Linked DNA regions of Macaca mulatta. The protein of the gene in region 4 interacts with the protein of the main gene of each other region in a pairwise test. Links are inferred from orthologs where the notes say so. Each region holds a gene or a part of one and is shown on either strand. Other genes may lie near its edges.

What was found.
Region 1: the proteins of TRAF3IP1 (region 4) and EXOC1 interact in a two-hybrid assay, tested with the Homo sapiens proteins (2 studies listed by BioGRID and IntAct). The link is inferred for Macaca mulatta from reciprocal best matches to the Homo sapiens genes TRAF3IP1 and EXOC1.
Region 2: the proteins of TRAF3IP1 (region 4) and GOLGA4 interact in a two-hybrid assay, tested with the Homo sapiens proteins (2 studies listed by BioGRID and IntAct). The link is inferred for Macaca mulatta from reciprocal best matches to the Homo sapiens genes TRAF3IP1 and GOLGA4.
Region 3: the proteins of TRAF3IP1 (region 4) and KANSL1 interact in a two-hybrid assay, tested with the Homo sapiens proteins (2 studies listed by IntAct). The link is inferred for Macaca mulatta from reciprocal best matches to the Homo sapiens genes TRAF3IP1 and KANSL1.
Region 5: the proteins of TRAF3IP1 (region 4) and SNAP91 interact in a two-hybrid assay, tested with the Homo sapiens proteins (2 studies listed by BioGRID and IntAct). The link is inferred for Macaca mulatta from reciprocal best matches to the Homo sapiens genes TRAF3IP1 and SNAP91.
Region 6: the proteins of TRAF3IP1 (region 4) and DMD interact in a two-hybrid assay, tested with the Homo sapiens proteins (2 studies listed by BioGRID and IntAct). The link is inferred for Macaca mulatta from reciprocal best matches to the Homo sapiens genes TRAF3IP1 and DMD.
Region 7: the proteins of TRAF3IP1 (region 4) and OLFM1 interact in a two-hybrid assay, tested with the Homo sapiens proteins (2 studies listed by BioGRID and IntAct). The link is inferred for Macaca mulatta from reciprocal best matches to the Homo sapiens genes TRAF3IP1 and OLFM1.

Annotation. Positions count from the first base shown.
Region 1 is NC_133410.1:77,615,710-77,619,209, reverse strand, and holds part of EXOC1 (exocyst complex component 1), read left to right. Parts: intron 1-1,329; 5' UTR 1,330-1,339; coding exon 1,340-1,463; intron 1,464-3,427; coding exon 3,428-3,500.
Region 2 is NC_133407.1:99,579,349-99,582,848, forward strand, and holds part of GOLGA4 (golgin subfamily A member 4), read left to right. Parts: intron 1-1,570; coding exon 1,571-3,500. UniProt on the Homo sapiens protein: Involved in vesicular trafficking at the Golgi apparatus level. May play a role in delivery of transport vesicles containing GPI-linked proteins from the trans-Golgi network through its interaction with MACF1. Involved in endosome-to-Golgi trafficking.
Region 3 is NC_133421.1:71,124,842-71,128,865, reverse strand, and holds the start of KANSL1 (KAT8 regulatory NSL complex subunit 1), read left to right. Parts: upstream 1-1,224; 5' UTR 1,225-1,257; intron 1,258-1,608; exon of another isoform or gene 1,609-2,034; intron 2,035-2,785; 5' UTR 2,786-2,896; coding exon of another isoform or gene 2,897-2,919; intron 2,920-4,024. UniProt on the Homo sapiens protein: Non-catalytic component of the NSL histone acetyltransferase complex, a multiprotein complex that mediates histone H4 acetylation at 'Lys-5'- and 'Lys-8' (H4K5ac and H4K8ac) at transcription start sites and promotes transcription initiation.
Region 4 is NC_133417.1:143,573,367-143,576,866, forward strand, and holds part of TRAF3IP1 (TRAF3-interacting protein 1), read left to right. Parts: intron 1-1,802; coding exon 1,803-1,871; intron 1,872-2,303; coding exon 2,304-2,465; intron 2,466-3,500.
Region 5 is NC_133409.1:102,119,014-102,123,127, reverse strand, and holds the start of SNAP91 (clathrin coat assembly protein AP180), read right to left. Parts: upstream 2,801-4,114; 5' UTR 2,708-2,800; intron 2,688-2,707; exon of another isoform or gene 2,363-2,687; intron 1,548-2,362; 5' UTR 1,518-1,547; coding exon 1,388-1,517; intron 1-1,387. UniProt on the Homo sapiens protein: Adaptins are components of the adapter complexes which link clathrin to receptors in coated vesicles. Clathrin-associated protein complexes are believed to interact with the cytoplasmic tails of membrane proteins, leading to their selection and concentration.
Region 6 is NC_133426.1:33,159,100-33,163,180, reverse strand, and holds the start of DMD (dystrophin), read left to right. Parts: upstream 1-1,281; 5' UTR 1,282-1,517; coding exon 1,518-1,548; intron 1,549-4,081. UniProt on the Homo sapiens protein: Anchors the extracellular matrix to the cytoskeleton via F-actin. Ligand for dystroglycan.
Region 7 is NC_133420.1:7,408,700-7,412,846, forward strand, and holds the start of OLFM1 (noelin), read right to left. Parts: upstream 2,801-4,147; 5' UTR 2,479-2,800; coding exon 2,329-2,478; intron 1,115-2,328; exon of another isoform or gene 1,028-1,114; intron 271-1,027; coding exon 121-270; intron 1-120. UniProt on the Homo sapiens protein: Contributes to the regulation of axonal growth in the embryonic and adult central nervous system by inhibiting interactions between RTN4R and LINGO1. Inhibits RTN4R-mediated axon growth cone collapse.

The DNA.
Region 1 (3,500 bases), on a different chromosome or scaffold from region 4:
CGTTGAAAAAATAGTAATATATATCCACACAAATATGTATATGAAAAATAAAATAGAGATTAAAAATTATTTTAACTTAAGTTGATGTTTGAAAAGATGCTGAGTTAGGTAAGATAAAGGAGATAAGTGGAAACCTATTTTTATAACAATTTTATTGAGATTACATATGATAAAGTTCACCCTTTTCAGTTATATAATGTAGCGATTTTTGGCATATTCACAAGGTTGTACAACCATCATTACTATCTAGTTGAAAAGCATTGTCATCACCCCAAAAAAGAAACTCCATACCCATTAGCAGTCAATCCTCCTTTCCACCTTCCTCTCCAGCTCCTGAAAACCACTTATATTTCTGTATCTATGGATTTTCCTATTCTGGATATTTCATATAAATGGAATCATACAATACGTGGTCTTTTGTTTGCTTAGCATAATCTTATCAAGATTCATCAATACTGTAGCATGTTTCATTACTTCATTTCCTTTTTTTTTTTTTTTTTGTAGCCGAATAATCCATTGTGTGGCTATTCCACATTTTACTTATATATCATTTGATGGACATTTCTGTTATTTCCATTTTTTGGCCATTGCAAATAGTGCTACCATGAACATTCATGTACAAATTTTTGTGTGGACTTATGTTTTCAGTTCTCCTGGGAGTGGAATTGTTGGATTGTAGGGTAGCCCATGTTTAACTTTATGAGGAGCCACTAAGCTGTTTTCCAAAGTGGCTGCACCATTTTACAATCCCGCCAGCAACGTACAAGAGTTCTGTTTCCTCTCATCTTCACCAACACTTACTATTTTCTATCATTTTTATTTTAACCACCCTTGTGAGTATAAAGTGGTTGACACCTCATTGTGGTTTTGATTTGCATTTCCTAGTGGCCAGTGATGTTAAGCATGTTTTCATGTGCTTATTGTCCATTTGTATACCTTTGGAAAAATGTCTATTCAGGTATTTTATTCAATTTTTAATTGGGTTATTTGTCTTTTTATTGTTGAGTTGTAAGGGTTCTTTATGTAGAAAACTATTTAAAGATTGAGCAGGGAGTTGAAGATTTTTTTCTTAAATCTTGTGTTTGTGGGGGGGGTGTGTGTGTGTATACTCGGTGAGCATTTCCAAACATTTTAGATTTTGATAACACTGGTTCTCTAATTTTATTTCCAAACTTCCAGCTTTATATTTTTGTGATATAGGTGTATTCATATAGTAAATCGTTTTTCCTAGGCTTGTTAACCAAAAATCATTTTCAAATCATAAATTCAGAAGTATAAGGTGGAATGATGTTCAGAGTGAGCTTAATATCTATACTCCAAATTTTTCAGCTGAGAAAAGATGACAGCGATCAAGCATGCGTTACAAAGAGACATTTTTACACCAAATGATGAACGCCTGCTGAGCATTGTGAATGTCTGCAAAGCAGGAAAAAAGAAAAAGAACTGTTTTTTATGTGCCACAGGTGGGTATTTAGTAAGAAAGAGTACTTGTTTTGTATCCTTTTGTTATTTAGGAGATATTTCCTTTTGTTTTGAATATCCCAGTTGTCTCTATAATTGAACAAACTGTTGGGTCAACAAATTCCCACTTGGCTTTGACAGGCTGTTAGTTGTTGCCAATCTGGTGGTAGTGAAATAGTATCTCATTGTGGTTTTAAATTGTATTTCCCTATAATGATGAGATTGAGCATCTTTTCATGAATTTCTTGGTCATTGCATTCTCTTGTCTATGAAATTTACCTGTTTAAGCCTTTTACTCACTTTTCTATTGTGTTGCTTGTCCTTTTACTGATTTGTACAAGTTCTTTCTATAATCTTTCTACAGTCTTTTGTTGGTTGTATGCATCCCAGGTAGTGGCTTGTCTTTTCACTTTTTATGATGCCTTTTAATGAAATTTATAATTTAATATAATTAAATGAAATTAATTAATCCTTTATGGCTTTCCCTTTTGGTGTCTTAAAGATCCTTCCCGGATATCTTTTGTACAGTCATAAAAATATTTTCCTAAATTCTAAAAGTTTTATAATTTTGTCTTTTACATTTTAGTCTTAGTTCACCTGTGTCGACATCTGTCGTGGTGTGTGTGAGCATTTCTGGTTATCATCTTATATCTTATTTTTATTTTGTTTTTGTTCTTTATTCCACCTAAATTTTAGAAACAACTTGTCAAGTTTCAGACTTTGTTGGGATTTTGATTGGAATTGTTTTGAACCTATAGTTCAATTTGGAGAGAACTTACATTTTTATTGTATTGAATCTTTTGTGTCGATGAACATGGTACAGTTCTCTGTTTAGGTGTTTTATAACTTTTATGAGTTTCATCATTTTCTCTAAAGGTTTCGCATGTATATTGTTGGATTTATTCCTGGGTATTGATTTATTCTTAGATTTTATTTGATAGTCATGAAAGCTCTTTTTAACATTAATACATTTTAAAATCATATATTGTTAGAATTCTACAATGAATTGTTGGTGTTTTATATGGATATCTATCAATCTTGCCAAACTTTCTTATTAATTCCAATTATTTATAGACTCTTTGAAGGTAGTGATATTTTTCTTCCTTCCTTTATAGTCTTTATATCTTTTATTTATTTTTGTTGGTTTAGTTTCCTAGTTAGGACTATCCATCCAGGCTCCATCTCAAAGAGAATGACTTCATTTTTAAGCATGATATTTGGTAGAGGGTTTTTATAGCTATCCTTTACAGTGTTAAGTAAGTTCCCTTCTATTCCTGATTTCTTCCAATTTTTTTAAAAAATCATGAATGGGTGTTGAATTTTATCAACTGCTTTTTATATCATTGATAGTATCATAAAATTTTCTCCCTTGTTAGTGTAGTGTATAATTGTACTTGGTTTTTCAAATGATAAATTGACTCTTTAGAATGACCTCACTCAATTATAATGTATCTGTATTAGGCCATTCTTGCATTGCTATAAAGAAATTATTAGGCCAGGAGTAGTGGCTCATTCCTGTAATTCCAGCACTGAGGGAAGCTGAGGTGGGCAGATGGCTGGAGCCCAGGAGTTTAAGACCAGCCTGGGCAACATAGTAAGACCTTTATATGTAAATATATTGTTGCTCTTTGAAATGCTATTTTGCTCTTTCAAGCCTCGCAGACTTTACATATGTCAATCATTCTTTAGATTTTTACCTCATACTTTTCTTTAAAACTGGTCTGAATTAATGTGTTATTAATATATTATTCCTTTATTTCTCAAGGAGTCTACTCTGAACCTCTAGTCTGACTGAGATGCTTCTATTAGGATTCTGTGCTTTCCTCAGTCAAAGCCCTTGTTGCAAAGTATTACACCTCTTTTAGTATCAGCTACTAGGCACCTGAAAGCTATACTTGCAAGGAGCAAAAGAAGAATGAGTGAAAGGAGTAATATTTCTAATAAAAGTGTGTGTTTTACTTAACAGTGACAACTGAACGCCCTGTGCAGGTTAAGGTGGTCAAAGTCAAGAAATCCGATAAGGGAGATTTCTACAAAAG
Region 2 (3,500 bases), on a different chromosome or scaffold from region 4:
CAGATTCTGGAGTTGTGAAACTATTTGCATATGAAAATTTGTTATCTCTCTAGTCAGTAAAAAGTTTCAAAGATTACTGGATTAGATTTATGTATACGTGCCCTTCATTTTTAGATAGTGTGAGCTATGCATGGGAGTGGATTTGGCTTTGGGCTCTGTTTATTACATGGTGCTCCTGGTTCTGCCTTTAGCTAGCTGTATTTCTGTCAGCCACTGAGTCTGCCGCTTTTCACTGACCCTGCAGCATCTCCATTGCGTGCTCATCCTTGATGTCTAGGAAGTGGGCTCATTTTGTAGGCAGTACTTGTTCTGGCACCTTCCTGCTTGTCCAGGTTTATCTTATGCCATGTCCTGAACGTAATCCAGTCTCTGCTTATATCACAGTTTAATTACACTAGTGTGTTGTTTTGCATTTGGTTTCCCCAGTTTTTCCATACTAAACATAGTCCTGTAATGAACATATTTGTATATATGTCTCAGAGTGTACATTTTAAAGACCCTGTCTGACCCTTTCCTTAGCAGTATTTGAAATGTACAACCTGTTTTGAAAACTGACGATGTTTAGACTTGTTAGCTTTTTCCCTCTGATTTAGATAGTAAAACAGCCATACTTCTTACTCATAGTTCTAAACCATCCTTAGTTTTTCCATTACGAACACTTACAAAAGGTTCCATGGTGGGTGAAATGGACACTTAGGAGGCCTAGATCTTCTACTTGTTAGCTTTTTAATTTAATTGTACTTTAATTTCATCACCTGTCTCGTGAAGAGATTAGATTCAGTAATTCCTTAGGACCCTAGGACCTTTCCAGCTCTGACATTTTGTGGGTCTGCCTTACTTAACTCCTTCAGAGTCAAAATTACATTTTCATGAGATAATAATAATCTTTGTTAAAATTTGTGCAAGTTCCTTCTTTTTGAAAAAAGAAAGAACCTTCTAAATGATAATTTTGAAGGTGGAAAAATCATACGTTCTTTTTCTTCTAAAATTATGAGAATAATAAAATAGTATGTAGGCTGGAACTATGAGTTGGGTTAAGCATATAATCTTTTCTTTTCTTGTCTTTTTTTTGTTGTTTTTTTTGTTTGTTTTTCAAGATAGTCTTGCTTTGTTGCCCAGGCTGGAGTGTAGTGGCACGATCTCGGCTCACAGCAGCCTTCGCCTCCTGGGTTCAAGGGTCCCCAATCTTAGCCTCCCGAGTAGCTGGGACTACAGCCGCACGCTACCCCGCCTGGCTAATTTTTGTATTTTTTTGGTAGAGACGGGGCTTTACCATGTTGGCCAGGCTGGGTCTCAAACTCCCGGCTTCAAGTGATCTACTCTCCTTGGCCTCCCAGACTGCTGGGATTACAGGCGTGAGCCACCGTGCCTGGCCGTAATCTTTTCTTTGTTATATGATTCCTTTAGTAATTGAGCACAGATTCTTTGTTCTTTCTAGTGTTTGGTATGATATGTTAAGCTATTTATGTAAATTTTGATCTTCAGGTAGGTGGTAGACATCATGTCTGTGTATCATTGCTAATAGGTAAGTACGTACTTTAATAAAAATGCATCTGTTTTTAATTAACAGAGAATTCTTGAATTGGAAAGTTCTTTGGAAAAAAGCTTACAAGAAAACAAAAATCAGTCAAAAGATTTGGCTGTTCATCTGGAAGCTGAAAAAAATAAGCACAATAAGGAGATTACAGTCATGGTTGAAAAACACAAGACAGAATTGGAAAGCCTTAAGCATCAGCAGGATGCCCTTTGGACTGAAAAACTCCAAGTCTTAAAGCAACAATATCAGACAGAAATGGAAAAACTTAGGGAAAGGTGTGAACAAGAAAAAGAAACATTGTTGAAAGACAAAGAGATTCTCTTCCAGGCCCACATAGAAGAAATGAATGAAAAGACTTTAGAAAAGCTTGACGTGAAACAAACAGAACTAGAATCATTATCTTCTGAACTGTCAGAGGTATTAAAAGCCCGTCACAAGCTAGAAGAGGAACTTTCTGTTCTGAAAGATCAAACAGATACAATGAAGCAGGAATTAGAGGCCAAGATGGATAAACAGAAAAATCATCACCAGCAGCAAGTTGACAGTATCATTAAAGAACACGAGGTATCTATCCAGAGGACTGAGAAGGCATTAAAAGATCAAATTAATCAACTTGAGCTTCTGTTGAAGGAAAAGGACAAGCATTTGAAAGAGCATCAGACTCATGTAGAAAATTTAGAGGCAGATATTAAAAGGTCTGAAGGGGAACTCCAGCAGGCATCTGCTAAGCTGGATGTTTTTCAGTCTTACCAGAGTGCCACACATGAGCAGACAAAAGCATATGAGGAACAGTTGGCCCAATTGCAGCAGCAGTTGTTGGATTTGGAAACAGAAAGAATTCTTCTTACCAAACAGGTAGCTGAAGTTGAAACACAAAAGAAAGATGTTTGTACTGAGTTAGATGCTCACAAAATCCAGGTGCAGGACTTAATGCAGCAACTTGAAAAACAGAATAGTGAAATGGAGCAAAAGGTAAAATCTTTAACCCAAGTCTATGAGTCCAAACTTGAAGATAGTAACAGAGAACAGGAACAGACAAAACAAATCTTGGTGGAAAAGGAAAATACGATTTTACAAATGAGAGAAGGACAGAAGAAAGAAATTGAGATACTCACACAGAAATTGTCAGCCAAGGAGGACAGTATTCATATTTTGAATGGGGAATATGAAACCAAATTTAAAAACCAAGAAAAAAAGATGGAAAAAATTAAGCAGAAAGCAAAGGAGATGCAAGAAACATTAAAGAAAAAATTACTGGATCAGGAAGCCAAACTTAAGAAAGAGCTTGAAAATACTGTTCTAGAACTTAGTCAGAAAGAAAAACAGTTTAATGCCAAAATGCTGGAAATGGCACAGGCTAACTCAGCTGGAATCAGTGATGCAGTGTCAAGACTGGAAACAAACCAAAAGGAACAAATAGAAAGTCTTATGGAGGTTCATCAACGAGAACTCAATGATGTCATATCAATCTGGGAAAAGAAACTTAATCAGCAAGCTGAAGAACTTCAAGAAATACATGAAATCCAATTACAGGAAAAAGAACAAGAGGTAGCAGAACTGAAACAGAAGATCCTCCTATTTGGGTGTGAAAAAGAAGAGATGAACAAGGAAATAACATGGCTGAAGGAAGAAGGTGTTAAGCAGGATACAACATTAAATGAATTACAGGAACAGTTAAAGCAGAAGTCTGCCCATGTGAATTCTCTTGCACAAGATGAAACTAAACTGAAAGCCGACCTTGAAAAGCTGGAGGTTGACTTGAATAATTCTCTGAAGGAAAATACTTTTCTTCAAGAGCAGCTAGTTGAACTGAAGATGCTGGCGGAAGAAGATAAGCGGAAAGTTTCTGAGTTGACTAGCAAGTTGAAAACCACAGATGAAGAATTCCAGAGTTTGAAATCTTCACATGAAAGCAGTAACAAAAGCCTAGAGGACAAGAGCTTGGAATTTAAAAAACTGTCTG
Region 3 (4,024 bases), on a different chromosome or scaffold from region 4:
TTCACCATGCTGCCCAGGCTGGTCTGGAACTCCTGACCTCAGGTGATCCACCTGCCTTGGCCTCCCAAAGTGCTGTGATTACAAACATGAGCCACCGCGCCCGTCCTCTCTCATAGTTTTATTGTTCTATTTTCCACAGACCCTTCCTTCCTTAATTTTCATGCCTCTTTAATATTCTGTTTCTTTTACCTCACTGACCTTCTTTTTCGTTCTCCTACCTTTTACCGTGGGTGTCTTATTACCCTGCTTAGGGAGTTTAGCATGTCACAGACCACTATCTTCAGGCAGAGGACCCCACATAGTCTCTAGTCCTGATTGTCTACCCTCTCTCAAGTTCTGTAACTTCAGTTGCCTCTAGGACACCTTCACTGGGTTTTACAAAACCCTGTTACCTGGAACTGAATATATTAAAAGCTAAGATTCCTCCCCAAATCTGCATGTTGTGCCAATTTTCCTGGCCAACTATCTTATCTGTCCCCTGGTTTTGGGACCTTATTTAAACCTTTAAATCAATTTTTAAAAAATTGGAATCTTGATGAATGGTGCAAAAATCAATGGATACAAAGGATACGCCGAGATATGTAAGTCTTCCGCCCACTGGTTCCCTAGGCACTCAGTTCCCCTCCCAGGAGGTAACCACTGTTGCCAGCTCTTAAGAGTGATTTTTGATTCCTTCTTCTGCCGGCTCTATCTCAAGTCCTTCCCTGTCTGTGAGATGTGTGCCCTTTCCTTTCCAGGCCCTAGTGAACTGATATCTGGTTGAATTTATATATAAATATTTATATGTGTATATTTTCTATACATATATAACATCTCTCCCTATGGCCTTCCGGCCTGGAGTTTTCATCACGTCGCTTCCTGGATGAAGGAACCTCGAGGGGTGAGGGGCAGGGGTTGGGGGTGATGGAGAAGAGAACCTAAAGGGGACTTAGGTAGGGGGTTCAGAGTGGCCAACTGGCGTGACGCTCTGGCAGGATTCCTATTCCTATTCCTCCCACCTCAGGCCCGCTTCTAGTCCTCTCATCCAAAAGCCTCTCGTTTCCAAGGGCCGAGACAGAGACAGAGACAGCGAGATACACAGAGACAGAGACGCCGAGGCACCAGCATCCCTCTCCCCCTTCGGTCCCGCCCCATCTCTCTGACGGACACTATCGCTCAGCCAATGGCGCTCACGATATGCCCCTGAAGGGCCAATGAACGCCAGAGGAGGGCGGAAGATTCCCCGCCCCCACTTCTAGGCTTGGTTGAACCGTGCAGGTAGGTCCGGGGCTGGGGGAGCTGTCTTTGGCACTGGTGCCCCTGGGGGTGGGGGCACGAGTGGACAGGGGTGATGGTGAGGTAGAGGCGGCGGCCCCGACACGACGAGCTCGAGGGAGCGGCCCGGCTGGGAGGCGGGGGGCGGCGGGGCCCGGGGAGCGGGCGCCGCCGAGGGCCCTGGAAGCGGCGGGGCTCGGGGAGGGACGCGTGTGTGGGGCACGGGGACCCCCGCCCAGCGCCCACTCGTAGGCCTGGGCCGCAGGCTGCCGACCGAGTGGCCGGGGGGCCTGGCTGCCCCGGGGGCGGGCCGGGGCCGCGGCCGGGGGCGCGGAGCGGAGCTCGGGGCGCCAGGCCGAGCCGAGGTGGGACGGACCGACGCGGAGAGGAAGGGAAGCCGCATCCCGCGGGCCGCCCCTCCTGAAGCGAGCCGGGCAACGGCCGCGGGCGCCCCTGCCCTGAGCCCACCCCGCGCTCTCCCCTCCCTAACAATGGGAATGGGGCAGAAGGAGGCGCCCCACTGCGGAGGGGTGAGGGGTAGGTTTGGGACTGGGGTCCGCGGTGGGGGGAGGTGCGATCTCGGGCTCTCGCCTCTCCGCTCCCTCTGGCTCTGGAGTTGGGGGCCCTGGTGGGGCTTTGAAGCCTGCCTGAGACTTGGGTCAGGAGTCAAACTGCCGCCCCCCGCTCCTCCCCCAAAATCCGGTGAGCGGTAAGGAAAGTGATGCCAAGTCTTCGAAGCCTCAGTGACAAACGCATAGCAAGAACACATCCACTCCAGAGGTGTTTATTTTTTATTTTTATTTAAATAAGGGTACTTTTCGACATTTGTTTTTAACGAAGTGGGTGCTGTTATTTTTGTCCCTACGCGGGCAAGCCTCCATTTTAAGCGAAGCAGTAACTGGTTAAGCTGGAATTGTATTCAGGCCCAGGACTTGAACGAGGATCCTACTAGAGGTCATTTAGTCCATCCTCCAGCCTCCAGGCAAATTTACCTTCCTCCTACCCTCAAAATTAAGTTGCTCGGTCTGCTTTTAACGATCTCTGGGGAAGAAGGGTATTTTATTTGTTTCTAGTACTTCAGTCAAGAATAGGTTTTACTTTTCATGTGGAATTGACTCTGAAACTTAAGCATAATCTTGGGACAGTCGGGATGATTAGAGAGGTTTTACTTTACTAAATATAATTAAATGTAGCAAGGGTCTTTTTTTAGATGGTTAGTTAACAAATCACGTTTAGTGTTTATGAGGTACCCTGGAAACTTTATTCTCTCTGGGATTTTGGCTGTTTGATAAGCAATTTTACATTATCTAAAGTAAGTGTTACATATTTATTTCTCTTTTTATATAACGTATGTTTCTACACATATGTACGGAGACACACACACATTTGCCGTTTTCTAAAGGGGACTGTATTTTCTATACTTTTTTAGTGCGATGAGGCAAATAGTACTTCAAAATCCCTGCCCATGTAGCTTAAACTATTTGCATTTTCTTGATTATTTTTTAGTCTAAATGAAAATCCTCTCTTTCAGATACCTTATCGAAACAAAAGATTTTCCTACCTGCTCATACTTGGTAACCGAGGGAATTACTAAGACTTCTTGCTCATTTCTGAGTATTGTCTTTATATCCTGACACTATGAATGCTATTTGGATGCCTCTTAAGGTAAGATGTGTTATTTTTTCATTACCAGCCTCATTTTATTCATTTTTCTTTAGAACTTTGTAATGCTTGTAATTCTTGAATTTGCTATTCTTCAGTTCCTTTACCTGCCATTTCTCTTGCCTCTTGTGTTTGCTTCCTAGGATTGATTGGCTGTACCTTACTTTGCATTGCTACTGTTCTTTGATTATCGGTGTGAACGTTTTAATGAAGTTCTCAAATTAACTTCCATTATAATGAAAGGCAGTGATCTTTTTAACTTTAAATTATGGCAACTTACATAGTTATAAAATTCTGTTCCAATTTTAGGATAGGTTGGCAATTCAGACATCTAGGTCCACTTTTCAAACAGGTACTTTAGAGTCATAGGTACTAGGGTGTGTCCCACTCTTGCAAATCAGTAGCTGATTCATGTGTTACAAAAGATGTGTCATTAACCATTTGTTTACTCTGAAACTGCATATAGTATATTAGAACATTCTAAGACCTGCTGGTTTACACGTATGACTTTTTCAGAGTCCTCCTGCTGCACCCCAGTCCTTTGCGTGACATTTCACACTGTTTTTCTCAACAGGTAGCACTTATGCCAAGTTTATTTCACAGGGTAAACCTCATTTGGACAGTGTGGACAGATGACCTTTAGATGAAAAAGCTCCCATTGATGTGGTGGTTCTCCAGTCTCTTTGGCTTCTCTCATCTTTTATACATAGATGGCCAAAGAACCCTCCATTAGGACTAGGCAAAGGGCAGAGCTTAAGACTGAAATGGGTGGCTTCTTTGATTTTCTTGTGACTAAAAATACATTTAAAAAAATTAAATATTTTTAAATTTTACAAACAAAAACCAAAAAAGACATAAGGAGGGTATGGGAGGAAGGACAGAGAAGGATAAGCAGTCTTGGAAACCCTCCACCAGCTTCGCCTTCCTTCAGAGTTGGATACTAGCTTAGTTAAGATTGTTGTGTGCTAATCTGTTCTGTAGACTTCCAGATTAATGCAGAGGAGAAATCGGACAATAATGCAGTCTGCGTAACCTAAATATCTGGACTTGTGGGAAATCTTAGGTCATGTAGACTGAGTTCTCATCTTCATTTACGTTTCAGCTGCTA
Region 4 (3,500 bases):
AAGAAAAATAGTAGTACAGCTCTTACATAGCGTGGTGTGGAATGAAAACTCTTATTGATTAATACCTAACTTGATGCAAATTAAGGAGTTGTGGCTTGAATCCAGAGGAGGCTGACGTTAGGATGGGACTGTCTTGTTTGTAAAACACAACTCCCCGTAATAAATATGCTTTATTAGCTGACCTAGGACACACAGCTGTGGGCATACCTGTCCTTACCACATACCATGCAGCCTGCTGGTAAGGGTCCCGGCTGTTCAAAATGCTTGTTGCTACAAATTTTACTGATTTTACAGTAACCTACTACATTTCAAAAATTTTCAATTTGAGAGAACCCACGACCCTGGCTGGGTGTGGGGGTTGAGAGGAACAGAAAAAATCATTGTCCTAAAAGCTGGTTTTAGGGCTAATTAAGAGGTACAGGTTACCTGAGGGAAGGGGTGACTGGGGAGAGAACCAAAGCTATGGGGTGTGGAGCCTGCCATGATCCTAAGAAGTGAGTAGTGACACGTGGTGAGGAGAAAGACCCTTGCAGAACTTCTAGTCTTAGAAAACTAGGCTGAGAAATTCCTTTTCTTTTCTTTTTTTTTTTTTTTGAGAAAGAGTCTCACTCTGTCGCCCAGGCTGGAGTCCTGTGGCGCGATTCCGGCTTACTCCAACCTCCACCTCCCGGGTTCAAGCAATTCTGTTGCCTCAGTCTTCTGAGTAGCTGGGATTACAGGCATCCGCCACCATGTCTGCCTAATTTTTGTATTTTTAGTAGAGACGGGGGTTTCACCATGTTGGCCAGGCTGGTCTCGAACTCCTGACCTCAAGTGATCAGCCCGCCTCGGCCTTCCAAAGTGCTGGGATTACAGGTATAAGCCACTGTGCCCGACCAAAGTTCCTTTTCTTTCTGGAATCTGTTCCCTCCATTGCACCTGAAGGACTCTTGTAAAAGGCTGTTCCAGGTCCTCCTCGTGGTCCTTCGGCTCAGTTCACGTCCCTGAGTGGCTTCACAGGGCCTCTGTACCAGGCCCCGAGTGTCTCTCTGGCCTCAGGCTCCTGCCGTTGTACATTTCCCTGGCACAGAACTCTGTGGGTCCTGGACCTTGTGTGGACTTTCTTCCTTTTTTTTTCTTCTTTTTTTTGAGACAGAGTCTGGCTCTGTTGCCAGGCTGGAGTGCAGCGGCTCAATGCAATCTCCACTTGTCGGCTTCAAGTGATTCTCCTGCCTCAGCCTCCCATGTAGTTGGGACTATAGGCATGTGCCACCATACTCAACTAATTTTTGTATTTTTAGTGGAGACGGTGTTTCACCATGTTGGCCAGGATGGTCTCAATATCCTGACCTAGTAATCTGTCCACCTCGGCCTCCCAAAGTGCTGGGATTACAGGCATGAGCCACCGCGCCCAGTGTGTGGACTTCCTTATGTCTGGCATGTGCATCTGAAATGCCCCCTTGCCCAACTCTTCTGTAAGCCTGGTCCCCATCTAGGTATGATTCCTCCAGGAAGGGTTCCCTGCCACCCTTGCCCCTCCCAGATTGTGGATTAGGTACCAAGCCTGAGTGCTTCCTTACTACCTGCACGGTGTCATCTTCACCCATCTGTCCACACAGCCAGACTAAGTTCTGAGAGGATCTGGCTGGCTTCTGCCCTGCACAGCACGTGTAGTAGACATCAAACATTTCTTGAGTAAGTGGATGATTCAAGTCTGGGCTGCTAGTCAATTCTGACATCTCCCAAGTGTGGAATTGAGTGGATGAGGCTGATGAGGTGGCTGTCTGTGCAGTGACGTGGTGGCCTTTCTTTCTCTCTTGAAGGTGATTAGAATGACTGGTTTCATGAAGGGCCTCTACACAGACGCCGAGATGAAGTCTGATAATGTGAAGGTGGGTTTGAGTCGGGCTTCTCCTGTTAACCCCTCGCCTTAACGGATGGGATTTTTTGTAGGCCGGGTCGTGTGGCGTGTGTCATTTCTGTGCTGCATGTGGTTGGAATACAAGGTCAGTGAATTCATGAATTGATATATACCCTTCCTCATTTCATTTTCTCATTGTGGTAACTGGATCTCATGCTCGTTTTATTCACTGAAAAATGGGATTAGTATTTCAAAGATTAATGCTAGCCTATCAACTAAATTAAAGGCTTTAATGAATTGTTTTTGTTTTGTCAGTAAAAGGTCAGTATTTCTAGATTTGTTATAGATCTAAAAATAGCTTCGTATGTAAACAGAAACTATCCTATGCCTGTAGAACATACTGAAGATAATGCATACTCTTCAAAGTATTGTAATATTTATATTTTCAATGGAAATGTTTCAGGATAAAGATGCAAAAATTAGCTTCCTACAAAAAGCCATAGACGTGGTTGTAATGGTGTCGGGAGAGCCACTGTCAGCCAAACCAGCCCGAATCGTGGCCGGGCATGAGCCTGAAAGAACAAATGAGCTGCTCCAGATAATTGGAAAATGCTGTCTCAACAAGGTACTACTGCTGTCCTGGCATTTTGAACTTACTTAGTACTTGAGTAAAAGGTAGTCGGGGGTGAGGGACTCACATGTGCGGGCGGTTTAGGGAAGGCGTTTCAGTGGCGTCTGTCAAACACTGTGCTTTGAATCTGATCCCACCCCTTCTGGAGCCCCAGAGATACAGGAGGAATAATTTAAAACTGAATGATGAGACAAATAAGGGTATCTTATACGCAAGTTCTGCAAGCTTTCAATATAAAATCGGGAACCCCGCAGGTACTCTGTGCCCGGCTGGTGGCTGGAGGCTGGAGGCCCAGGCTTCCATGCCCTCTGGCTTTCTCCTTTCTGGGGCTCCTTTGAGGACAGGTGGCTGCTTCCAGCCGGGGCTGCAGTGGCTGCAGGAGCACTTTTCTTCTTCCCTGGGTCTTACGAGAGTCTCTCTTCTCTTCCTGCATCTCCAGCCTCTGATATCTGCTTGTCTGTTGCCCTTCCTCTCTCTCTCTTCAACCCTTTCTCTGTCTCTCTCGGTTGCTGTTTCAGTTGTATAGGGAGTAGATTTTTTTCTTCCCGAGCTTTTCACTGTGGGCTAGAAACTTGGGTGTCAGGCCTCAGGCTTCTCTGGTTAGGTCCAGCCTGGGCCATGTTTGCCCAAACGTTGGAGAAGGTCTTTCCCCAGGGTCTTCCTTCTTTTGAAGGCCGAGTGGTCCCCCATGGAGGAGCAGGTTGGACTTGTATTGAGAGTATGATTAATACAGTTTTTCACATACCTAGTGGGTGGTTGGCTGGGGGCTAACCTTAAATGTGACCCAAATGGGAACAGGTAGGTTTCAGCCCCCTCAACAGCAGTGGGTCGTGGAGGTGCATAGTGGTGTCAGACTGACTCCTAGGAGGCCCCCCCGGTGCAGGTCCAGCATACAAACTTAGAGACTTGGAAGCAGATTTTGCCAGTACACTGGCCTCTGTGCCTAGACTCCCAAGCTCCCCTTCCCGGGTCCTTTATGTTGCTCGTCTTTTTAAAAAGCACATCTGGCTCCTATCTCCTCTGCTGAAT
Region 5 (4,114 bases), on a different chromosome or scaffold from region 4:
TGTTAGGTGCCCTGGCCCTGGTGGCCTCTTTCATCTTGTACTGCACATATAACATATAATACTGTAATCAACAAATTTTGTTAAACATTCCCTTGGGAAAGGCATAATGGTACTTTCTCCTCAGATCAGCTTCTAGAAACAAAATTATTCAATTCTATGAGACAACAGGTTCAGAAGGCTAGACCAACTCTTACAACGTCCAGTTGTAAGCTCCACCAAGCTTGACTTATGCAGATAACAGGGCGAGAGTGAATTCTGACACTGGTACCACTTTCTCAGCTGCACAAAGGAGATAGTAGGGAAAAGACCTCAGGCCAAAAAAACCCAGAAGATGAGCAAAGGAAGCCAGCTGAGGAAATGGTTATGGCCATACCTGTGTCTCTCATGCCAACACTGACCTTTACCAAAAACATCACAATAGAACAGAAGATCCTAAGCAGGTCAAGAGAACTAAATAGCAACTGCTGAACATACACTCATATAGCCTGACTTATGAGGAGCCTCACCACCCAAAGCAGGTGAAAGCCTTTTTCTTTTCTAAGTGCCTCTGTTTATCCTTCAATGACGAAAGATTTACTGTTAATTAAGGTATTTCAGAAATGTACAGATTCCAGAGTAGAATAAAGCCTTTTCCATCAAATAACCAGTTACAAAAACAACATTAAGAATTAAATGTTTCCATCTAAAATTGCACCATCTCAGATGCTGGGGAAGTACATCCATTTTGTGACCATAGCATAGTCATCTCACCCAGCATTTTCTGAGAATGGGACAAAATGTACCAGAATGTGTAAAATGAAATTGCCATAGCTATTAAGTCCAATTTCCTCATTCAGTATCTTGAATTCATTTGTTTGGTATGGTAACATACACACATACACACACTCTCTCACAAAAAAAATCCTCAGGAGCAACACTGAAAAAGATGATACTATCTTAGAATTATCTGAAATGTATTTAGGAAAGAACTAGGGTGACAAGTTTGACCTTCCATAAATTCATCTTTTTTTTTTTTGACTGTGCAACCTCTAATTTCCTCTAATTTGGAGAAGGGAGGGTGGGTGGAGAAAGAAAAAAAGGTGCAAAACATCTAATTCAGAGTGTACAATCTGTGTGTGTGTGTGTATATACACATAATGTGTGTGTGTGTATTTTTCCCCCTTCACCAAGACCTTGGAGTTAAATAAGAGGAAAAAATGGCTCACAAGACAAGGTTTCAGGACTAACCCAAGGGAACACCTCCACAGCTGGAGAATTTCAGCTCAGGGGCAACCTGGCTGGGAATATCAGAGGCCGCAGCATTATCGACCAAGAGCACAGGCCGCACCACCAGCATCCCAGGCGCCTCTGCCGTGCGCATGTCCCTCTTATATAAAGAGATGCTTACAGTCCAGGTGCTTTTTCTTGGGGCCCATCACTTCATGAGTAGTGGCTTTGCAGACCGCTCTCGCTACAGCAGAGCCTGTCACGCTGTACTGAGCGGCGGCGATCCGATCCGTGAGCGTTTGGCCCGACATCTTCTCTGGTCGCGTCTACCACCTCCTCTTCTGCAGGAAACAAGGGGAGACGGTCCGGCTTTAATCCGCAGACCCTCCCCTCCAAGCACCCAGGCCTTGCCTCCTCCAGCCGCGCGGCGGCTCTCTCCTCCTCCATCCCCACCCTGGCACCACCTCTTGGAGCCAGCAACGCGCCAAGCCCCGCTCCTGCGATGCGGTCCAGGGAGTCTTGGCCGTGAGTGGGGCAGTCACGGAACCCCAGCGTGGGCTCCAGTCTCAGCATCGTGACACCGTCCCCATTCTCCCCCAACCCCCACACAGGACCAGACTCGCCCCCTGGGGACCCCCCTGTCAATCAGCACTTTCCCCGCAACCTGACACGCGGGTGCTGCGCTAGCCACGACGTGCGTCCGGGTTATTCCCTGGGCGCCGCACCCACCGGTGCCCACCTCCCACCTTCGCAGACTTTCCTCCTAGCAGCCTGCAGGCTTCGGGGAATGCATCGGCTACCCAACCCCTGGCTGCCTCCCTCCTCCTCCTCGCGCTGCTGCAGCAAAGGGCTCGTCCTCCCTCAGTCGCGAAGGAGATTATCCTAGCATTGCGCCATGTTATGCCCTCGCTTCCCCTTCCTTCCCCGCCGCCGGCTCCAAAGCCTCGCCGAGGCCGATAGCCCGGGCCCCTTCCCCCCCGGTCTCCAAATTCCTGCCGCAGGGGCCGCCCGGGAGCGCTGCGGAGGCGCCGGAGTCTTGGGGCACCTCACCCTTCCCGGATTTGGAGCGGAGCCGGGCTGACAGCGCAGCCCAGCCCCCCCGCCCGCCCTGGAGCGCTCCGCGGAGCTGTCACCCGGCCGCTGCCCTTCTCCGTACCCTGGGATTATCCTCTGTGGATCCCCGCGCGGCCCTGGCGCGGGGAGGGGGCCGAGTACGGCCGCGGGTACTCACCCCGCCCCTGAGCGGCGCCGCCCGCCGCAGGATGAGCGGAGCCCGGGCAGCTGAGGGAAGCCGCGCTGGTGGGTGTGTGCGACCGCGCGCAGACCCGGTGCCCCTGGGCGCAAAGTCTCCAGCCCTGGCCGGGCCCCGCTCCTCAGCTCCGCGGTCCCGACACCCGCCGCCCCTGGCCCCAGAAGCCAGTACCCGCCCGCCGCCGCCTCTTCTGCAAGCGCCGCCGCGTCTCTCTAGCGCTCCAAGCTGCGTCCCCATCCCCGCCCCCACCTCAGCTGTGGCTCCTCCGACGAGTCAGGTGACGGCGGCGGACAAACCCGGACGAGCCCTCGGCGGAGTGCCTCGCGGCCCCCTCCCAGCTACTCACACACACCGCCCCCCGGGGCTGGGAGCTTAAAGGCGAGGGGGCGCCTCGCGCAAGCATCCCCGGCAAGCGGGAGGGGAGAAGAAGGAGGCGGGGAGGCGAGGAGGCCGACACCCACCCAGCTCGCCGCTCTCCGCTGGGCTCCTGGCCGCCCCGCCGATGCTGGCTCCGCACCCGGCACGCACTGGGAGCGCGCACCGCGCACACCTGCCCGCCTACTGCTGGGGGCGCCCTGGGCGGTGGGGGCGTTGGCCAAGCCAGGCGAGTGGGCTTCTCGGGTTCTACTCGGTGAAGGCCAAGGCAAGGGCGTCGTCGCGCGCTGCCTGGCGAAGCCCAGCCCCTTCTCCCCCACACTGTCGCTGACACGCCCGCCTGTCAAAGGCGCCCAGGCCCAGATGAGCAGGGTGATTTTAAATGTCAGATCCTGCCGGCCATCCGCGACCGTTACCTGTGCGTCTTCAGCTCCTCAGGCTCCTCCGCTTGTCTCAGTTACAACTGGGAGCCCGGGTGGGCCGGTAATTCTAGCCACTTTAGTCTTAAAGGGATACTGAGGTCTGCTGAAGGGCGAATAATTAACAGCCATTAATCGAGTCCCAGGTTACCTTCGACAGTAATCATTTGAGTGCATAAGGATAAACCCTTCGTACCCTTTAAAAGTAATTCTGCCAGTTGAATATAGTGTTGGAACATCCGTCAATTGAATATCAAGTGTATACTTGAATAGTAAGCAGGAATTTCTAAACAGGGATGTGGAGTTGGTTAATAGCTTCACATGTTGACATTTTCAAAGGTTGTTATTTATGTTCAACTTTTTTTTTTTAATTCTCACAGTAGCATGAAGATCAAAACTATATTTGTGAACTTTCCTGGCATTTTTCCCCCTGGCTTCTGGTGGCTTCTGCTCAGCCTTGAAGCCATGTATGGATACCTATCAATCTCAAGGTTTTGTTATATATTCCTCTCTTTCACCTGGTTCAGTGTTCAGTATGCAGTCATGATTTCCTGACTGTTGAGAATGATTCTAGCACTAATTGGAAGCTTAATGACTAAAGAGAGACAGCTTAAGAGCACCATTGTCTCAAATACTAGTTTTACTGTATTTACGGGGGAAATAACGCAATTCTATTTAAAAAACAACAACAACAACAACAAAAAACTTATACTCCAGTTTTATAGCAGCTTAATATAATGGTCCCAGACTGGAGGAAAGCCAAATGTTATTCTACTAGCAAATGAATAAACAAGACATGGTATATCCACATAATGGAATACTACTTAGCAATAACAAGAAACAAACTAATACCATTCATGAA
Region 6 (4,081 bases), on a different chromosome or scaffold from region 4:
TATGCATATTTAGACAACCACACAGAGGAAAGGAGGTGACCTAGGGAAAAGAATGTTTTCAATTAAAATTAAGCCTTATGTTTTATCTCATACACATTTTGCTGGGGAAAATAGCCATGTTATGACAATAATATTCTAAAACGCAAAATGTATAATTAACTATTAAGGTAAACATCACAGTCTGACTCTATAATTTTTTTTTATTTTTGTCTATTACTCATTTCAGTCGCAAGCAGTTGAATGTTTGACATAGAAAAATGAGTCTGTCACTTTAACAAATGGTACAATAAAAACACTCAAACAAAAATTTTAGTAGGGATTATTATAACTATAAAAAGAATATCTTTCTTTAAAAAATGCTACCAATGTTTTCTATCAATTTGGGGCTCGCCTGTTGCATAAAAGTAATAAGGAACAAGATGAAGAAGACTTCTATTGGCAAAGAATGATTTACATGCTGAATGACATAATACAACTGCATTCACTTAATACAGAAAAAAAAGAGCCTGCATTCAGAACCATTAAATGATCATTAACTCAATGTCTAAGAAAATGGTGTTTTAAGAATTGGCAGCAGAGAAATGGAAGAAAGAATAATTTGTTAGTAAAGAAGTTTTATCATAATTCACAACTGAAATTTAGGATTTGAGAAAAATGTCTTTGCTCCATTATAAGAATATTCTTTATTTTAGCAGGAAAACATGTCCCATGAGACCTACACACACATTCTGCCTTCAGAATTCAGCTGCTGTGTTCTGCTGCTGCTTCTCTTATTCAGACTGTTGGCATCATCAATACATGACTTTTGCAATCAAAAATCTCAAGGGGAAAAAATAACTTTGGTAGGCAGTGGATACATAACAAATGCATAGATTATTCTGGGCATTTCTTTTTATTTGGTAGAGTGAAATTTTTGGTGTTGTTGAGAGGATAAAAAAGGCATTTAAAAGTCAATTTTAAATCGGGATTTTCTGCTCTGTTATAAATTCACATGAAAGTTACAGAAAATATTGTTATGGTTTTGTACTGAATAGTTTTTGTGTTTGGAAGGCTTTAAAAGCTAGTACTATGTCCACTGTGCTATTCTGGTTTGGATATTAATCAGAACACAGTTGAGCTTATTTGAATTCACAGAGCTTGCCATGCTGGAAGCACAACCTTATATGTAGTGACCATGGACAGTCCTATTATGGGAAACCAACTTGAGAGAGAAGGCGGGTCACTTGCTTGTGCGCAGGTCCTGGAATTTGAAATATCCAGGGGCCTCTACAGAATCCTGGCATCAGTTACTGTGTTGACTCACTCAGTGTTGGGATCACTCACTTTCCCCCTACGGGACTCAGATCTTAGAGGCAATTACCTTCAGAGAAAAATGAATAGGAAAAACTGAAGTGTTATTTTTTTAAAGCTGCTGAAGTTTGTTGGTTTCTCATTGTTTTTAAGCCTACTGGAGCAATAAAGTTTGAAGAACCTTTACCAGGTTTTTTTAATCGCTGCCTTGATATACACTTTTCAAAATGCTTTGGTGGGAAGAAGTAGAGGACTGTTGTAAGTACAAAGTAACTAAAAATGTATTTTACTGTGGCATAATGTTTAGTTTGTGACAAACTCACTAATTAGGTAGATTGATTTTAAATTATCACAGTAGTTTGCAAAGAAGCATAAATGTTATATATACTGCATATATATATGTATTTATTCAGGAATATATATTTTTCATTGGGAAAACTTTTCAATAGAAATTGAGTTTATAAGTTTTTCTTTGCAGAAGAATTAAACACATGATTTCTTGATTAATAAGCCACTGCAGTAATAGAATATGCAGAATGTCATTTGATTATAACATATTATTTTGATTGCTGTGAGATAGTTTGTATATCTCAGTTATTATTTTGACTAGTTGATACTTCTGTATTTAGTAACAGTTACATAAAGGTTACTGACCTGACATATATTCTCAATTGAACTAACTACTGTATAGGAACTACATGGAGGCCTAAAAGTTAGGAGAAGTTTCTCTGACATATGGAGAAAATAAAGAATAAAATGAGTTGGGATGGAAAATTGAAGGATGTGAAAAGTATTGATAAAGATTTAATTGTAATGTTGCTTTCTCACATTTACTATTTCAAATGCTCTTTTCTATAGCATACCATGATGATTATTTCAAATAATGATGTGATCTATGCTATCAAATGATCAGATGATCTCTTGGGAAAACAACATACAAACTTGAGGAACTCCTAATTATGTTTAGTAGTAAATTATATTTAGTAGATGTTTCAAGTCTATCATGAGCTAGCTTTTCAGTTCAATTTTTTGTTTGTCTTCCATATAGAAATGCAACTATTTTGTTTATTTTTAAGAAAGTCATGATGACTATTGAAGGATTTAAAAATGGACTGTGGCACAACAGTAAAATAATATATGATAAGGACTGTGTGTCCCAAAAAGATGGGAGTTTATCTCTTCCCCACCTATCTTTGACTTGTGGAGTATAGTTATTCTAAAATAGATATGAGAGCGATGCCTATAATTAAGAATGAAAAAATAAGTCTCTCCAAATAAGTAATGCTCCACAACTACTAAAAAAAAAAAAAAAAAAAAAAAAGGCAGACGTTTTACCACTGTGAAAAATTTGTGGAAATAAGTTAACATTGTCCATGTATTGAGTCACATTAAAAGCTACCAGATTTTATAATACAACATTTAGTTACATTGTTTGCTTGCTTCATAAATTTCTTTTGGTGAGTATCATTATTGCTTTTAGATTGAAAAACTATTATATTTACTATCATTACAAAAATATGCATGGCATATATCTGTTGTTTGCAATATACACATATACACATATTTTTATTTATCATTTTTATTTCTTTGATATATGTAATATAAATACTATCAAAATCGCTAGTGATTTTATATATATATATATATTCTATATAATTAACCACATATACCAGTATATAGAGCAATTTTGAAAGAATATATGCAATTCTGCTGGAATGAAGCAAGGTAAACCTATCCTCTGCTTTGTCGTAGATAGTTGAAAAACTTTCAGTTCTTCGAATGTGAAGGAAGGTAATCTTTTTGGAACATGTCCTGTAGGATTTTTTCACACTGCATTTAAAAAATCATCAAGTAATGCCTATGCAACATGACAATGAGTTTGTTAAGGAAAATGGAGATATACTCAGGGCTATATTATACATTAAATTTTGTTGCTTGACAATATACTACTATTTGGATGTCTGACATTTGAATCTGGTTTGTAAATTCGCCTTAGTTTGAAAAACTTACAAAAGTACATTTTGTTTTTTAAACAGAATAGTTACTCTGTAAAAGAGATCACTGTATTGTCAAACACATTGTATTGTTTACTTTTAGAATTACTCAAATAATGCATTGTAAAGAATTATTCAAATAGTGTATGGCAAATAGATATTTCATTTGAATATATTTAAATGATGTAAGTCATCTTGAGGTCTAACAAAATCATCTTTTAGAATTTCATTTGCAGAATCTTTTAAAGACATCTTAACTATGAAAAAGAGATCGCTGATCTAAATTGATAATATACTGTTAATACAAAGTTTTGGTATATCTTACATGGCATAACATTATGAAAAATACAACAGAGTATGTCATATAGATGTTATTCTAAACTTTAAAAAAGACTACAAAGTGTTTTATGCATAATTACATTATTTAAGGGGAAATAGGTGTTGGTTGACACTTCTAGCTAGACAGTACTGAATTGCAAATTCATCATTTGGGCAGAGATATTAATACAGCTTCCTCTTTATTCCTATAGCATTCATTTGAAATCCCTGTACTCCACGTCATTTGCTATATATGAAACAAATTGTCAAGTTTTTAACCACTTGTGTAGTTTAATAAAAGAGATTAAAATCATTGCCTTGGAAACATCAGGTGTTTTTCAAAATTCTATTTTATTATCTTTCATCAAAATTTTATCTCAAGAGTAAAACAAACTGATTTCCCAAACTTTCCTTCTCCTCCCACTTTCTATTGTAATATTTTCCTAACTTATTAAAAATGATTTATCATACTCTTTCAT
Region 7 (4,147 bases), on a different chromosome or scaffold from region 4:
GAGTGGAGACAAGCCAGGAAAGAGCAGAAATGGGGCCTGCAAGCTAGCCAAGGCTTGGTGTTGGCGTGAGCACACAGGCATGTACCCACGCACACACACGCACACTCTGCACAGACTCACCTTCTCCAGTAGCTGCCTCAGCTGTTTTGTGCGGGCATCCCGTGAACACATGGTCTGCTGTGGGGCGACCACTGTGCAGATACACCTGCCCTCGCTGTCCTGGGCAGAGCTGTACACCTGCCAGCTCTCCTCAGGGTTGGTGGGCAGCACCTGGAGAGGGGCGGGGCGGGGAGGGAGAGGGAAGGAGAGAAAGGGAGACCATGAGGTTGTGTATCAGAGCCAACAACCAGGGGAAAGTGTCCACATCCACCCCCAGGAAAAGGCATGAGGAAATGGTCCCAAGACATGTTTGACCCAAAGGGAAGAAAGGGTCCCTGGGAACAAAGAAGCATAGGTCTCCCGTTAGGAGGCCCAGGGCTGGAAGGATGTCAAAGAGGCAAGAACCTTTACATTCTTAAAATTCAAGTTCAACTCAAGGGATGTCTGGAGTTTGTCATCTGGCCAAACTGATCTGCTGGGTGGATGGAAGGGGCAACTGGAGGCCACAGACTGGACAAGGGGCAAGACAGGAAAGCAAAGGTTGGGTGGCTCGAAATGGGCATGTATGTCAGAAACAGGATATCCTTCCCGTAAGTCAAGCACAGGTGACTGGCACCACCAAGCCTCGCCCTGCCATTCCCTGACACTTGCAGAAGAAGCACCCACTGTAACAGCCCCAGATCCAGCAGCCTATTTGCCCAGAGCTGTGATGAACCCCGAGCGGCGGCAACCTCCCTGCCGGCAGCGTGGCAAAGGCTGACCCAAGAAAACACTAGGTTTCCAACTCCTCGTGGGCTCCACCCGCGAGCCATTTGATGAATGTCACCAAATTGCCGGTGACATGCTGTGCAGGGGTCACCCTCAACCTCAGTCCTGAGGTTTGCCCAAAGACCACCAAGAAACCGGAGCTGCCTATGTCGGGTCTAACCTCACAGCCCAGCCCAGCCCAGCCAGGTACCGGGGCAGGCACTCATGAGCCTCCACGCTCCACCCTGCTGCCGGCCCCACTGTCTCTAAGCACGCTCCCCTCCGGTGGCATCAGGTCATCTCTCCGCTATTTTTAGCATGAAGATGGGGAGGAGAAGTTGGGCGGGGAGAATCTATAGTAGTCATATCTTTAATCTCATTCATTCCTAACCCGGGAAGATCGGGACCAGCAGGCCGGAACAAAGTCATCATGGAGGAATCGCCCTCAGATTCCTGAAGGAGCTGCGGGGGTGGCCTCAAGAGGAGTCTTAGGAGGGAGCCACACCACGGAGCCCTCTTCGCAGAGCACTGAACCTCTGGCAGCAAAAAGGGAGAGGGAGGGAGATTCATGTCCTTCACCTCGCCTTTCAACCTAGAGGGGCAGTGGTCTGGGGCGCGCCTTCCCAGCAGCAACCCCTTCCCCCGCGGCCCTCCGGGTGGCTGGTTCCAGCTCAGCCTTGCCCAGCCATCTAAGTCAGCTCTGCCCAGAAGCAGCCCTGGCCACGGTTCCCCTCCCGCTAGGCTCGAGAGGGAGACTCGATTTCAGTTTCAGAGGCCAGGAGGGAGGAGTGCGCGCAGAAGACGAAGGCAAAGGCGAGGCAGTGAGCACCCAAGGGCAGGCTCCCAGGGGCCCCACCCCAGCCCCTCAGCACCGTCCTCCCAGGGGAAGGAACAAACCCTCCTATGGACTGGGGAGGAAAGGGTGTCTTGGGACTTTGGGAACGAAGGCGCGGACAGGAGCTTCAGAGCCCACCGGCCGGGGCCCCACTCCCAGTCCGGTCGGGCCAGTCTGGCTTTTACAAACTAGGGCGGGCTCAGAGTCCCCGCTGGACCGAGCCCAGACTAGGGTCTAGCGGTGACTCCACCCCTCACTCGCTGAGTGTGACCTTGGACAAATCCCCAAGTCCCCAGCCTTAGTTTTCTAACCTTTTCAATGAGGGGCTCATGATTAGTGACCCAGGACTCCAAGCCTCCGAACCCCCACCAAGCTCCCCGGGCCCCGCGGCTAAGCGCCCAGGTGAAGGAAACGCCGCCCCGGGGGTGCGCGGGGAAGATCGAGTGGCCCAGGCTGGGGGAGTGGGGAGCAGGGTCACCACTGCTGCGCCGGCTCGCGACCCCTGCCCTTGCCCGCCCTGTTCCCTGCCACCTCCCTGGGAAACTCGGGTCCCGCGCGGCGCCCGCCCAGCCCCGAGCTCCGGACCGAGGAGGGGGAGGAGGAGGAGAAGGAGGGGCCGCGCCAAGGCGGCCGGCGGGCGCACTTACGCCGGTGCTGCGGTCCAGCGTCCCGCCGCCGGCCGCCGAGAGCTTGGTGGTGTTGAGGCCCACCAGCGAGGGCAGCGTCTGGGACATCCAGTTGGTGATCATGGCCATGGTGCTCAGCACGACCCCGATCTTGAGCAGCGGCACCGACATCGCGCCTCGAGCTGCCTCCAGCGCCCGCTCCAAGCTGGCGCTGGCTCCCGCGCCCGGGCGGCCTTCAGGCGGCGGGCACCGCGGCGGGCAGGGGCGCCCGGCTGTATCCCCGCGCCCCCTCGGCCCGCCGCCGCCCGCCCGCCGCCGCCGCCGCCCCGCGCGCCCCGGCCATCGCCGCGCCTTCCCCGGGCGCCAGGGAGGGTGGCCAGGCGGCCTCTGCCCGCCGCGCTCCGCGCCCCGCGCTGCCCGCCCCGCGCCCCGCCTTGCCCGGCTGCGTCCCTCCCGGCTCCTCAGCCGCCACCGGGAAGCGCCGTCCGGCTCTGAGCGCTGCGCTGGCTGCGCGCGGGGGCCGCGGCCGGGAGGCGGGGCTCGGCCGGGCGGGGCCGACGCAATCCGCCCAGGAAATGGGTGGATTTTTCCTCTTGCTCGGCTCCCCGCCGCCCCCTGGCTGCCGGCAGCGAGATCTGCAAACTCCAGTCCGCCCAGGAGTTGGGATCAGGGTGACATGAGGAGACGGACGCACCACCACCCCCCCAGATCATAAAATACCCGGCGGCGGCGTGGGGACCCCAGCTGGGGCACGGCCCGCGACCCTCCTGTCCCGGGGCTTCTCCCATCCTCACGCCCAGGCACCCCTCTCCGATCCCCGCAGAGGGACCGCTTTGGGGCAAAGGTTGCCCGCAGAGAGACGGCGCCATCCTGCCTACTGGGGCCCTTTTCCGCGGTGATTCGAGGGTCCCAGCCAGCCTGGGCCCTCGCCTGAAATCCAGCAGGCAGGGCCGGTTCCGAAAAGCAGCCAGACTCGCGAAGGCCTCCAGCGCCAGGGGAGCATCGGGGTATTGGTGCAGAGTTAAAGGCGCCCCTGCGAACCCTGGGCAGCCGCGGTGCCCTAAGACCTTGCTTGGGAGGAAGGGAGCCAACCGGCACCCCTGGCACCGGCACAGCAGGGCGGGGGCTGGGGTGGTCCGCTGTGGCCTGCGGTGCGCAGGGAGGGGCCTGGGAGAGCGCACACCGGGCAGGAGCTGCATACGGTCTGGGGCTCAGACCTGGGCCTCAGGAGCTGAAGGGGCCACGCCCATGAGCGTGGTGTTGGGGAGGTGGGGGTGTGGGGCGGGGACTGGGGTCTGTGGTGGAGGGGTGTGGGTTGGGGGGTGTCCTCATTGGCTCAGGGGTGGCGCTTGAGTCCTGGCGCCCAGGCCCAGCTGCAGGGCAAGTGGCGCAGGCTGCCCCTCTTCCCGGCTCTCTGCGGCGACGGCGGCAGGACTCACGCGTGTCAGTCCCACCCGAAGCGCAGCAGGCCTGACTGGGTCAAACGAGTTAATAGGGTTTTTGCATTTGCAGAAGGCTTCTAATCGGAGATGAAAGCCGCTTCCTCCGGGGCCTTCCATTAAGCTTTCCCAGCCATTTGGGAAGGAAAGACTCCCCCAGCTCACTCACTACACTCTTCTCTGCCTGGGTGAAAATTAATCTCCCTTCCTGGATGGGATTTGAAAGACGGACGCGGACCGGAAGGAGCGCGCCTCCCTGGCGCCTGCCTGAGAGGAACAACGCCTTCCTGGGGCTTTTCTCTCTGTGCGCGCTGTCCTCGGCTGCAGAGACTTCAGCTGCAGCCGTGATGATCCTGGCCTGAGTGCTGGGTGTGAGACCCGCTAGTTACATGAGCCCCTCA